Linked DNA regions of Caenorhabditis elegans. The protein of the gene in region 1 interacts with the protein of each later gene in a biochemical or structural test. Each region holds a gene or a part of one and is shown on either strand. Other genes may lie near its edges.

Region 1 (5,900 bases):
TTCTGAATCTGAAAATATTACGAAAAATTCGTAATATTTTGAGATGACAAAGCAATCTTTTGAGATTGGTTCGCAATCTTTCTGAAATCTAAAAATATTACAAAAAAAATGTGTAATATTCTAAGATTAATTTGCAATCTTTTTGCAGTCCATAAAGATTACAAAACACCATTTCCAAATTTCCATCGGCTTCACATGATCGTGATATATACAACAATTATGATTACTGTTCCGTTCTAAATTCTCTTTTCTTCCAAATGATAAAAGACTTTTCAAAGTAAAAAACAGCTACATGAAAATCTATATAATGGAGTATCTCACTGTTAACGGATATTTGATTTTTCGTTGCATATTGTAGAAGGAGTTTTTGCAGAGAAAGCCACAGAATTCACAAATCTGTCCACTCATGTAATTTTTTCTAGATAATTGGCCGGTCATATTATAAATTCAGTCAAACAATCACGAAGATTGGTCGAATACATTAAAGTAGACTTACAACTATTCATTCACGCGTGATGCGTTTGAGATTTTTTGATTTCAATTGAAATCATAAAATATTGTCAACAGCAAGCATGTTCCCAGTATACTCATCATTTTAATCAAATTGTTAGTGAAAAAAAATATTGAAAAAATAAAATGTTATTCTCTCTTTGACAAAAATTCGGAAAAATTGCAATTCTAACATTTTTTAAAGCATAACAAAAAAATCGTTTTTCCACATTCGCTGTCAAAGAAAGTTATCCAATTTCGCTCTGACACTTAGAAAATTTGCGAAAAGTCACTGATTTCCCATCAAAAGTAACGAAAAGGACGTGCGCCCATCAACTATTTACTTAAGCAATAACTAAATCTAGATGCGACACGTTCAGGATGGCTCAACAGGTAAGATAATGGTTCATAGACTCAACGACAAGCGACGGACAAGTTCAACTCCCCTCAATGGCAACAAAAGTTCTTCGAGTTATCACAAAACAGTTCTAGAATAGTCGATGAATGCATTTTTAATATTTAGAGACAAATTCGCAATATTTTGAGACAAAATCGCAATATTCTGAGACGAAATCTCAATCTTCGGAGATGAAATCTCAATCTTCGGAGACTAGTTCGCAGTCTTTTGAGACAAATTAGTAATATTTTGAGATAAAACGGAAGTCTTCCTAGAAATTTTCACACTTTCGCAATATTTTGAGATGAAATTGTAATCTTTTGAGACAAAATTGAAATCTATTCGAAATTTTTAGTAATCTTTATATGACGCACAATTTCTCGTTTTTACTACAAAAATATTGCTATTTAATATTTTCATATTAGATTTGAGTTGCCTGAGCCATTTTGCTGTTTTTTCTCTACTTTTCCTCCTTCCAACTTATTTCTTTTGTTGTTTTTCCTCGGTTTTTGATTGCTTCTTGAAAGGCAAAGTGGCGGAAAGCGAAATTTTTAAGTATTTTTGTTATTAAAATTGAGCTCAGCGTCACGTTTTACCTTGATTGGGACACTTTTCACATTTTTTAAAAATCATATGTGAATTTTGCCGTAAGGTTCGGTGTACTGCGTATAATTGAGTTCAAAAACTCTTTCATTTTCTGCTTAACTCTATATGAAAATTTCAAAATAAAAATATTTTTTCAGATTCCAGCAACGGCACAAATAATGAAATCTGTATAAATTGGAGGAAACATTAGAAAAGTGTCGGGCAAGAAGTACAAAAATCAACAGATAGGAGATGGTGCAGTTAGATCGTTTTGAAATTTTGTTCAACAACCCTGAACAGGCGTATTTTGCCGGTCAGGAAATCTCAGGAAAAGTAGGTGTACCCTTTTAAAAATTGATTTTCAAGCGTTTTTGTTACCAATTTGCCTACTTTTCCGGCTTTTCCATCAAGCGAATGGACTAACATCAACATAAAGATGCAGTTTCATGAAGTGTTGAATGGGATAATACAACATATGCTTCTCTCTTGCTCTCTTCATTTTAAAAGTTCAAGAATAGCTCTTTAATTTTTAATAAATTATCTTTATTAATTTCGAGTTTTTGCTTTCGGCAAAATTTTCTATTTTGTTCGTTTTGTCGTAAGATTGAGCTTACTTTGTAAGTTGGCGCTAGAAGCCCAGAAAAAAGATATATACTTACTTACTAAGTAAGTGAGTAAGAAAACTTTGAGGAATTTCAATTTTTAAGCAATAATAAAATTTGCAGGTTATAATAGAAAATAAGGAGCCAAAAAAGGTCAATGAGATTCTACTGGAACTGAAGGGCAGAGCAAGAACCTACTGGACAAAGCATTCTGGTAAGCGCAATTTCTGAAAAAAAATTGTTTTTTTTTAAATATTTTCAGGAAAATCGCGAAAACATTGTTCTCACTCGGAGCCCTACTTTTTGGAGCAATTCAATCCTGGCTACACGCACAAATTCACAGTTGTAAAAGACGGAAAAGAAAAGGAAAGGATACTTCCCGCCGGCATTCATCAGGTAAATTTCTGTGAAAAAGTTGACCATTCATTGATAATATTCATTTCACTTTTTTCTCGAATTTTGTACATTGTGTCGAATCATCTCGAATGGTATACATAGTGTAAACTGTCAAAAGTTAACCAAACCATATAAATATTGCAGGTCCCATTCTCGTACACTTTGCCAAAATCACTGCCATCCTCATTTGAAGGCGAATTCGGACACATCCGGTACACATGCAAAGCCATTTGTGAACGACCATGGGATTTTGATATTGTTAGCAGAAAAGCGTTTACGGTAGTTGGTATCGAAGATATTAATTCGGACCCTAAGGTAGGCAAGTATTTGTCAATTTGGCTCATTTTTGAGCCAAGTTAAAAGAAAAACTTATTATCAGTTTATAATTTTTTAATTTTTGATAAGTAGGGCCACAGGATCAAACATCTTGCATGCAGACATTCAAGGAGTTATAATAAATTTAATTTTTTTGTAGATAGTTTGCCAGTTGACAGTTTGCTGGTGTTTTGTCAACTCGCCGAGTTGCAAGAGTTGGTGGTCAGCATAAAGGCCTTTAATCTCCCCTGTGAACAGAACATTAGACGAGTTTTCAACTGAGTAGATTATTTTGTTAGTTGACAATTTACAACCACGTCTCACTGCGGTGGTAAAAGGTTTTAATCTTGTGTAACCTCCAAATTGGAACAAATTACGGTTTTCCCGATTTCAAATTACAATTTTCCCGATTTCCAGCTCAATGAGCCTGCCACATGCGTGGAATCCAACCATGCTGTCACATTTTGTTGTCGGTCAGCCGGCAGCGTTACCGGCGAAATTCGAATATCAAAGTGCGGCTATACTCCCGGAGAAAAGATAGATGTCAGCTTTAAGTTAGTATTTTTGCTAAATGCATATGTTAACCTCATTTTTTGTAGAGTGATAAATCTGAGCTCCAAAACTAGAACTACTGCTCTCCGATTCGTGCAGCAAACCACGTACAAGGCCAAAACATTCGCCGGCCACGAGCACATCAAGAATGTGGTTCGCGTGATCTCAAAAATTGACAAAGGAGAGGTGCCAGGTGGAAGTACCACCGAATGGCAAGAAGAATCCATCACAATCCCATCGTTGCCACCGAAATTGGGAAAATGCAAAATTCTGTCAGTTACCTATTCGGTCGAATTGGAAGTAAGTAATACCAGTTTGTTAGATAATTGATAAATTTCCTCGGATTTCGGACCCATAATGGGGTTATCCAAGGAGTGTTGCGGAATGTATTTAATACATTTATGACGGGACAACTGTGTTAAAATACATGTTTTTATGAATTTTAATACAGTTCTGACGTCATTTTTATACACTTTTTAATTTTCGGACGCTACTTGAGTAACCCCATTAGAAGAACTTTAAAGCTTCTTGACGAATTTCAAAAAAAAAATTCAAATTCTTGTAACTCACGAGAAAGGTTTTTAACATAATTTTTAATACGAACAAAATATTCCACATATATTTACTGTTCTATCTTATGTTAGTTGACAATTTACTGCCATCTCTGCAAAGTTAGATGAGGTTGACCACCTACAAAGAACTTGCTCTGATACATCCTCTAACTTGGTGGAAAGTTTCACAAAATGATCAACTGCCAAATACTATACATAACAATTTCTACACCTTTTCAGATTATTATTTCTGTATTGAAAAACCCCGGCAAGATATGAAATTTTGGAAAATATTAACTAATGAGTTTTTGCAAGTTTCTACTAAAAAAAACCATTTGACAATGCTACCTTTTCTCAAACACTTAGCTCTTTAGGTCGAGCAAACGCTCACAGTGCCGTGTCCAATTGTCATTGGTTCCATCCCGCAGCTTTCTCAACTTCTGATCCATTCCAAACAGTCCGTGCAGAGTGCCGGCAACGGCTCTTTACCGAAAAGTTCCATAAAGGATAGTCCACCAAAATGGGATAGCGAGAGTTGTGTGCAGGTTTGTTTTTACAAGGGTAAACACGTTTTACACGCCTAATTCAGGTGACAATCACAGATGAGAGTGGTCAGCTGGTGGAGGAACTCGGCAACGAAATGGAAGCCTTATTGTCAGCTCGAAAACGAGTACGAATGCCCTCCTCGATCCTCAGCGAGCTGTATCCAACAATGCCGAGCCCGTATTATAAGTGAGTTCGGGCAAAAACTTAGGTGCTTTAAAATTGGGGACTTAAACTTTCATTTTTCGATTTTCTGGTATTACGTAGACGTCTAAAGATGAGAATTTTCGCCATATCTTACGCGCATTTTCGCCAGATCTTACGCGCATACTGATACTCCAGACTGGCAGCTATTGCACTATCCTTTTAGGAAAAAAAATATGCTGCCACAATTTTTTACTTCTATTACGGGAACACAAAACTCAGGGAATGCGTACATTTGACGCGCAAAATATCTTGTAGCGAAAACTACAGTAATTCTTTGAATGACTACTGTAGCGCTTGTGTCGATTTACGGGCTTGATTGTCTAAATGAATTTTTTTACAAATATTTAATGTCAGAGATATTCCATTTTCCTTCGTTTCTTCGTATTATTTTCTCATTTTTGCTTGATTTTAATTTATTCCGAAAATCGAGTCCGTAAATCGACACAAGCGCTACAGTAGTAATTTAAAAAATTACTGTAGTTTTCGCTACGAGATATTTTGCGCGTCAAATATGTTGCGCAATACGCAATTTTTTAGTTTTTAAAATTTTTATAGTTTTTACAAATTCCCTGAAATTTTTCAGAGAATCATTCTTCGGCGCCAGTGACATATCAGAGGAGAAGGAGCAAGCACAGTTCGGTGAAGCCTCATTTGCGCCCAAATATCCATTTTATACCGATTAATATTTTATCATTTTGTCTCGAGTGTTACTTTCGCTTGGAGGGGATAATCAATAAATTCCATGCTTTTTCAAATTTTGTTGCACTTTCGATTCAGATTTTTTTTAAAAAACAAGTTTAAAAAACATATTTTCTGATTCCCTAATTCACTATCACAAACAATTCCCTAAAAAGCCTTATCACCTGAACCCCGTGGTGAGGTCTGCGTCTTCTCAGAGCACACAATGTCTTGTCGGTTTGCGTCAATTGGTGACGGTCATACGGTTTTTGGTGCTTGTTGTTTTGCATTTTTATCTATAAATAGGGTGTGAGGAGATAAGTTTCATTCAACTTTTTAAAGTTTTCGTGAGTGAGCTTCAATGCCTGCCTGCCTGCCTATAGTCTGATTTCTGTGATGATTAAGTGTCCGGTGTTTGCATAGATTTACGCGTTTCTAATTTTACTTTCTAATTACATGTATTTTGACAGTAGACACGAGGCAGGCAAGCATTTTCATGCCTACACTGAGAGACCTACTTTTTCATACTGTTTTCAACTTGGAAAGTTCTTCGGGGTTTTAAATGCTAAAACTTAATTCGTGTCG
Region 2 (8,037 bases), on another chromosome or scaffold:
TGTTTCTTTTGACATCTCAACACTCTCTTTTCACTCGTTCTCTTATCTTTCTAGCTCCTACCCAGCATACACATCATCGTACCAACAAATTTGTATGCATGAAGTATCTATTGGACTCCTTGTTTCTGTCCCTTTTCATGATTATACCAGAGGGACCTATCTTTTTGGAAGGAATAAACAACAACAACAAGCCTTTCTTAGTGATGACTAAAAATTTAAGAATGGAACTATTATGTCGTTTAGAGAATTTTCATGTTCTGTTTTTACAATACATAGAGTTTCCGATTTTTTTTACTTTTTCTTTTTGTCTGAAATTTGTTTTTTTTTGTGTTTATTTTGAGAGTAGAAAGCCTGGTTTTGCTAAATTTTCCACCTATAATTTTTAGACAACATTTGAAACGTGCTTTAACTGAAACTGTCTATTTCTCTAATTTTCTCCGTTTCTGTCGCATCGCTACATATGTTTACCCAATTTCCGTGCTGCTTCTTTTCATTTTTCATTGTGCCTTATCGATAGAGAGAAGCAGAGAAAAAGAGCATCTCTCTCACGCAGAGGGAAAAAAGGTTTTTTATCGATAACACACACCGCCCATTACTTTTGATCTTTCCCTTTTTCAAAGTCATGTGGGTTTTTGGTTCTGCTCATAAATGATTTAATCAATACATAGCATGAGTTGAACAGTAGTTAGAAAATGACATCGCTCCTAGGAAGAAGACATTTTCAACTTATAAAATTGTTTGAAAGTTCTATTTTTAAATACAAACACTTAGAGTTGTACAGTACTACAACTGATATCGTTTTTTTTATTTGTATTGCACTACCTAGTATACATAAAACGATAGAAACAGAACAATTATTTTGTCAGTTGACAAAACGACAGAGAAACTGTCAGAATTGAATAATTCGCGAAATAAAAAATAAAGTGTGGTATTGACTGTTTTTTTTTTGAAGATGATGCTGAATTTCCTGATAAAGTTGTCAAAAATGAATGATGTTTAAGATATTTTTGAAGAAACGTTCGGAATAAATTTGTTCTCTAGAATAATTATATAGTTGCTCTCTCAATGATGTAAATCATATTTTGATGACATTTTAGCTTTAAGAAAATTCGCTAATAAATTGGTTGTAATGTTTCTCAAATAAATTTCTCTTGATTCTCCTTCCAATTCTCAATTGTTCCTTTTCTTCGTCTTTTCCAAAGGAACCCCGCCCATTGTTGTCGCCTTTTGGCATGCACAACTAGTTTTCCCTTCAATCTGAATTATTCGATTGGTCAAGCTTCTTTTCTTTTTCTTATTGAATTTAAATTTTTAACTATCAATTTGTTAAATTGAACGGAAAGCTTTGCATTGGAACATCTTATTTTTCGGGGACGTTATTCTTTCATAATCGTTATTTAATTCGTAAATGTTGAACTTTTTCTCTCCGTATGACAAAAATTGACCAAAATGTTGATTGCAGGCCTGTGAAAGATCGATCCGTCGTGCCGTGGTGTGAAGAGAAGTGACGTGAAACGGTCCGAAGGAGGGTATCGTACTGTTTCGCAAAGCTACATCATCTCCACACATAGCCGTTTCCCCGCTTCATCTACGGGTTCATACCAAACCAGAGTAGCTCATTCACTCATTTTTTTGAACAAAAAGGGTTCGTTTTCATTTTCCAACAAAATACATCCGATCCGTCAGTGGCGCCGCGCGCCGAAAAAGGAAAATATATGAGGTATTGGCCTCTCTCTCATAAAAGTCATAAAAATTGAATCGCCATGGTGTCCGCGAGAGAAGGAGAGCCGCGTGAGAGACTAGAAGAGAAATGAAGAAAAAAGGAAAAAAAGGAGCTCAAGAATACAAGTCAGCTGCCCCAAGATACTCGGCTCCGCGCAACTCCACACCATTTCCAGAGTTTCCCTCACTTTCTTACAATTTTGAATTGCAGGTGAAACAAAAAATCAGTCGATAAAAGGAAAAGTCATCATCAATTTTAAATATATAAACACACACAATGGCCTCGACATCGGCAGGACAGAACTCTGCAGCTAAACGTAAGTATTTACTGAATCCTCGTCTGAAACTACCATTGTTTTTATTCTTATTTTTTGCAATTTAAGACTATCGCTAAAATCAGCAAACATTGAGCATTTTTTGAATAAATTTCAAAAAGTTAAATAGTCCATTTTCAATTTTAGTAGGAACTAGAATTTTCATTTTCTTTGATTGGGAAAATACGGGAAAAGAACAATATTTTTTCAAATCAATTTATTTTGAAGTTTGGTTTCCGTTTCACGTTACATACCTTTAAATGTTATCGAAAAATTAGTTGTTGTTTTCCCTCTATCTCCTTTTGCCCCCTCGAAAAATGATTTTAGAAGGAAATAGAGACACAAATCGAATTTGTAGTGTTGTTGTGCATCATCACACACGCAGTCGTCGGGGGCTTCATCCTTTTTCTAGGTGTCTCTATCCGAAAAAATCTAGCGAAAGAAAAATGGATCTCATCTGGAATGCATGAAAAGAACCATTTTTTCAGCTGACACTACCAACACTACCACCACCGCCTCGAACAACAATCGTGAACGCGAACGTGATTTGAAGCAGTTCACCGAACGATTTGTCAAGAGTAAGTATTTGGCTTCTGCAGTCGGGCGGCAGTTTGAAAAAGAAAAACCAATTAAAGTGTTTCTTGCTTCAGGTTACGGAGAAAAGCGCCATGCTCTTTTTTTCTCTTTTTTTTTGCGCAGCACACCACAACCACCCCCATCCACCCTCACATTGGCACACACACATTGAAGAAGCCAGAAATTATACGCGCAGAGAATTTTTTTTTTTGCTTGTCCCGTTGTCGTCGTGAGCTGCAGAGCCGCAGAGAGTTTCTTCTCGTCTATTCTCAGCGCAAACTCTCACTGTCTGACTCACGCGGGTCCGTTGCTCTGAGGAGCTCACCAATGGCTCCGCGTCGGCTCACCAGGCACATAGAAAATATATCGAGAGATAGAGAGTTCTTATTCTCTCTGATTCTCTCTCCGTCATTCTCTTTTTCTATTCGAAAAGATTCTGACGAAGTCGCCGTCATTGGCGTCGTCGTGTGTGTGAGAGAAGACGGGAAGGAAGGGGAGTGAGTGACTGCTGTAGCTTGAAATCGAAAATTAATCCCGAAACGCTTGAGAGGGTTCCCATAGTAATTTAGGAGGGCGGCGGCGGCTCGGGCGCCATGTGGGGAAGATGAGCGTGAGAAGAGCATGGAATTTGAGAAGAATTGAAAAAAAAATAGAAGAAGGGAATAGAAAGATGAAGGAATTCGGAAGTAAAATGGAATAATGAAAACATTATATTTTTTCTAATTTCTCATTTTTCAGCCGTTCAATTTCCTGTTTCCGAACGCCTTACCGTTGATCAGGTCTACGACCGGCGGACTGGAAAACCAAGGCATGAAGTTCTTCGAGATCATTTTATTAAGGTGTGGAATAGATTTTTAAGAATATAATCAAATCAACAATTTTGCAGGAAGGAAGGATAGAAGAAGAAGCCGCGATTCGTGTGATTCAAGAATGCTCAAGCCTGTTCCGCAACGAAAAAACGATGTTGGAAATCGAGGCGCCGGTTACTGTATGCGGAGACATTCATGGTCAATTCTACGATCTCATGAAACTATTCGAAGTTGGCGGATCGCCCGCAACTACCAAGTATCTATTTTTGGGTGACTACGTGGATCGAGGATACTTCTCGATTGAATGTGTCCTGTATCTGTGGGCACTCAAAATCTGCTATCCGACCACGTTGTTCTTGCTTCGAGGAAACCATGAATGCCGTCATTTGACAGAGTACTTTACATTCAAACAAGAATGCAAGATCAAGTACTCTGAACGGGTATACGATGTGTGCATGGAGTCATTTGATGCTCTACCGTTGGCAGCTCTCATGAACCAACAATTCCTTTGTGTTCATGGTGGATTGTCCCCAGAAATCCATACTTTGGAGGATATCAGGAGGGTTAGTGAAAAACATGAGATCTAAAACTAATATTTTGAAAAATACCGTATTTCTCTATTAGTACGGTACCCGTTGTCGTTTGTTCTATCAAAAAATTCTCAATTAACAAAATATTTGTTAGTTCTTTTTCAATATATTTTCAATTAATTTCTTTGATATGTATCATGAACCGAGTGAAGTTTTTAAAGTGAAATAGTTAGGTGCAATACTGAGAGAAAATTTACGGTATATGTTTGTTTTATATGTTTTAAAGTACTGTTTAACTTTAATCCGAAATTACGACCATATCTTAAATGTCTATTTAATTTGTTGACTTTCAGATAGACAGATTCAAGGAGCCCCCAGCATTTGGTCCAATGTGTGATCTTCTCTGGTCAGACCCACTTGAAGATTTCGGAAACGAAAGGAATTCAGAACAATTTAGTCACAATTCGGTTAGAGGGTGCTCATACTTTTACAGGTATCCCATTCACTATAATCTTCATTTTAATAGAACGAAATATTATAGCTACGCTGCATGCTGTGATTTCCTGCAACACAACAATCTGCTCTCCATCATTCGCGCACATGAAGCTCAAGATGCCGGGTAAGAGCTTATCCGTCGCCAGGAGATGCGAAAAGAGAACCTTAATCCTCTTTTCTAATTCTACTCTATTTTCCAGATACCGCATGTATCGCAAATCTCAAGCCACAGGCTTCCCATCGTTGATCACCATCTTCAGTGCTCCAAATTATTTGGATGTCTACAACAACAAAGGTGAGAGGAAATATGGGAATGGCATTTTTTGACGGAGAAACAAAAAGAAAACAAAATTCGGAAAATTAAACATTAAACATTAAACAACTTAACAATTTTCAGCTGCCATCCTGAAGTACGAGAACAATGTGATGAATATTCGTCAATTCAACTGCAGTCCTCATCCATATTGGCTGCCGAACTTTATGGATGTGTTCACGTGGTCATTGCCGTTTGTGGGAGAAAAAGGTATAGCAAGAAATATGTCGAAAACCAAATGAGATTTCCTTTTAGTAACGGAGATGCTGGTTCACATTCTCAACATTTGTTCTGACGACGAGCTGATGGCTGAATGCGATGACACCTTTGAAGGTATGTTCATGATTAAGCACTGGCTCCCTCAAAGGAGGTCCTACTGCGTAAAAAACTAGGTCACTTTAATATGAATTATTTCACAACAAAAAATATTTATGTATATATAATTTTTTTAAATTAAAATAATCTTCTACCGCCAATTTTGTCTCTATACACTTTCAATGATTTTGTCTTGTGCTCGGCTCAAATTGGCAAATGAAAAGCCGCATTGAAACGTTCTCCCCAAGAGATGGAATACATGTGTTTTTTGCTCGATTAATTTATATATATATTTGTAAATGTATATCTTAACAAGAACAGAAAATTGTTCCTATTCACCTCATATCACTCTTTTCTCCTACTGTGATATAAACTAAGGAGAGGAGAAGAAGAAGAGAGACTGTTTGAAAATTAATAAGGCACTGAGAGTTTGAAAGGGAAATAGGAATATTTCCAATTTTCCTTCAAAAACCTCAAAAAATGCACAAAAATCGGTGTTGTGTGTCCGGTACGGTTCTCTCTCTCTGTCTCTCTTCTACTTCTTTTCTCTCTAGTTTCTTGCCTTTTCCTTTCCTTCTCTTTTTTCCTTTTTCTTTCCTTCTTTTCTCCCTTTTTTTGAATATTTGGTCATTGTTTGAATGTTGTGCTACTCTTTTTTTGATTGAGCTCTCTGAAAAAGAAACCATGAGAAAGAAAAGGAAAAACGAAAAAAGGTATTGGCATGAGAATTGATATTTCTGTGTGAGTGTGCGTGTGTGCTCTGACTGAGAATGACTGAAATATATAGGTGTTCTCTTTTTCAGTTTGACATGATTGATTACTTCAGTTCAAAACTGTAACTATTGTACTCATCTGAATTAGCATTTCTCAGCAGTCATACGCTCCCTATGTGTACAGTATTCAAAAGATTAGCGCCACTTTGTAGGTTTAATTTTTTGTAGGATTTCACACTTCAAATTGAAATATAGTTTTTCGAACGATGTAGAAATGCTAGTCACTAGTACACAAACCATGATGTCGATTGAGAAAAAAACGCATGTATTGTTGACCTTGAGCATAGCAGAGCACTACTTGTAGAAATTTTGAGCTCATTTGCCGGAGCCATGTTTGGCTTGGAAGACATTTTGTCAATAGAATTGAATGACAGAAGTACCATGCCATCGTAAGAATATCATCATCCCTTAATTTTTGTCTATTGTTCTAAAACCTTGAAATGTCGGTAAACTTGTTACCTTTTCCCAGTGTTGCAGGCTTGAACTTGTTCTGAAAATCCAATAAAATTTTGACAAATTTGTCAGAAACTGTGTTTTCAAGCCGTCCGTTTTTTCCTTAACCGCACGCGCCTTTAAAAAAGTTAAATGTTAAAATCTCAGTAAAGATCTAAACATTAATCTCAAAACTAGCTACAAAAAAATAATGAAAAAGTCTAATCAAAATTTTAAGGAGCAGATGGTAAGTGGATATTCCCCTACCCACCACACACTGGTGACGTATGTTTGACTATCAGATTTAGTTTTATTTTTTCTTTAATTTTTTACCAAACTTTCTTCGGAACACCCTAAACAACACCCACCTCGGGCGTTTGGCGCTTATACACCATTTCTTAGTTTGTTTTATTTTTCTCTCTGAATACGGCTTTCTATTTATTTGACTTTTATGTGGCTGCTCTGCTTATCTTTTTTGTTCCGTTTTTCTAAAAAAAAATACGTTGCTTTTTTCTAATTATAATTGTTTTAGTTGTTTCATTTGGCTGTGTGCTGCTAAACTTTTAACGCCTTGTGTTTTGCATGTTTTATGTCGGATTTCCAACCTGGTCTTCTCCTGTGTTTTGGTCTCTTTTCAAAAATTCTGAAAATTCCAATTTTAAACATTGAAAAAAAATAGAAAGTCAAAAAATCGAAGAAAATGAAAGAATTCGAGCAGTCTAAAATTCAAAATTCTCTCACTTGGTTTTGATTCCCCACCCTAAAAATTAGTTACTAATTGGAAGAAATGGGTGTCTTTATTGGGATTTTTAGGGGTACGGTATAAGAAATGAGAAAGTGGAAATTTCCCCAAACCTGTGAGAAAAGACCTTGAAGTGTATATTTTTTCTATACATAATATTTTCTCAAAAAGGTTACTTTATATTTTATTAGTATATTACGGTATATTTGAAAAATTATTATGAAATTGTAAAAGTAGAATTGATGTTTACTCGACAAGAAGATTTTTTAAACTATGAGTTTTTTGGCTATTCTTACGGAACATAATCTTGGAACGAAATAAGAAAATGTTAACAATCGAACAAGTTTAGTTTTTTGTATAAAAAATTGTAGTTAAATTAACTAGACAAATAAATTTTCTTTTCCAAGAGCATAAAACTTCTTTAAAACTATTTACAACAAAAACTACCGTAATCCCTTCAAATCCCAATGGGACCCGTTTCCTCTAACTCAACCTCTATCATTTTCGGTGACGGTTGGCACATTGCAAAATCCCAAATTTTTACCCCCTTTGCCCTCCCCATATTCACACTATTTACAAGTAGTAATTTTTCACCTATTAGCCAATATATATGTACATGGCTTTCATTTTATTTTTGACATTTTTCTAACTTCATTCGGGGATTTCTATTGATTGGTAATGTGGTTGCCAGTGAATGGTGTCACCCCTTTTGAAGTTGTTGCCATGTCATTTGTAAATGTTGACGGTTCTTTTTTAAAAATTAATTTTTCAGGTGGAGTGGGGTCTGCAAGAAAAGAGGTTATTCGACACAAGATTCGAGCAATTGGAAAGATGGCAAGAGCATTCTCAGTTCTTCGGTAAGTTGATTAATTTTTTTCAATTTTAAACCGAATTTGTATGAATTTAAATAGAAAGTTTTTTTCTATTATAGAATGAGCATTTTTTTTAGTTAACTTTTATTTATTTTTGATAACATATATCTTAATTTAATGTTTCTATAAAAAAACAACATACTT

What was found. Proteins that work in one complex are often made in the same cells at the same time.
Region 2: of the proteins of arrd-17 (region 1) and tax-6, one has a biochemical effect on the other in vitro, tested with the Caenorhabditis elegans proteins (one study listed by BioGRID).

Annotation. Positions count from the first base shown.
Region 1 is NC_003281.10:13,626,538-13,632,437, reverse strand, and holds arrd-17 (Arrestin domain-containing protein 17), read left to right. Parts: upstream 1-1,629; 5' UTR 1,630-1,723; coding exon 1,724-1,804; intron 1,805-2,196; coding exon 2,197-2,287; intron 2,288-2,335; coding exon 2,336-2,469; intron 2,470-2,613; coding exon 2,614-2,784; intron 2,785-3,201; coding exon 3,202-3,338; intron 3,339-3,383; coding exon 3,384-3,636; intron 3,637-4,261; coding exon 4,262-4,432; intron 4,433-4,476; coding exon 4,477-4,619; intron 4,620-5,220; coding exon 5,221-5,320; 3' UTR 5,321-5,382; downstream 5,383-5,900. UniProt on the Caenorhabditis elegans protein: Involved in several behavioral responses including chemotaxis towards lysine and adaptation to repeated osmotic stress. In addition, plays a role in resuming egg-laying and locomotion after starvation.
Region 2 is NC_003282.8:10,495,023-10,503,059, reverse strand, and holds the start of tax-6 (Serine/threonine-protein phosphatase 2B catalytic subunit), read left to right. Parts: upstream 1-1,999; coding exon 2,000-2,039; intron 2,040-2,524; coding exon 2,525-2,614; intron 2,615-2,862; exon of another isoform or gene 2,863-3,141; intron 3,142-3,350; coding exon 3,351-3,451; intron 3,452-3,498; coding exon 3,499-3,984; intron 3,985-4,304; coding exon 4,305-4,444; intron 4,445-4,492; coding exon 4,493-4,570; intron 4,571-4,646; coding exon 4,647-4,741; intron 4,742-4,843; coding exon 4,844-4,969; intron 4,970-5,014; coding exon 5,015-5,092; intron 5,093-6,517; coding exon 6,518-6,526; intron 6,527-7,793; coding exon 7,794-7,878; intron 7,879-8,037. UniProt on the Caenorhabditis elegans protein: Calcium-dependent, calmodulin-stimulated protein phosphatase. Dephosphorylates arrd-17. Dephosphorylates daf-16 at 'Ser-319' which regulates daf-16 nuclear translocation. Dephosphorylates calcium permeable cation channel pkd-2 at 'Ser-534'.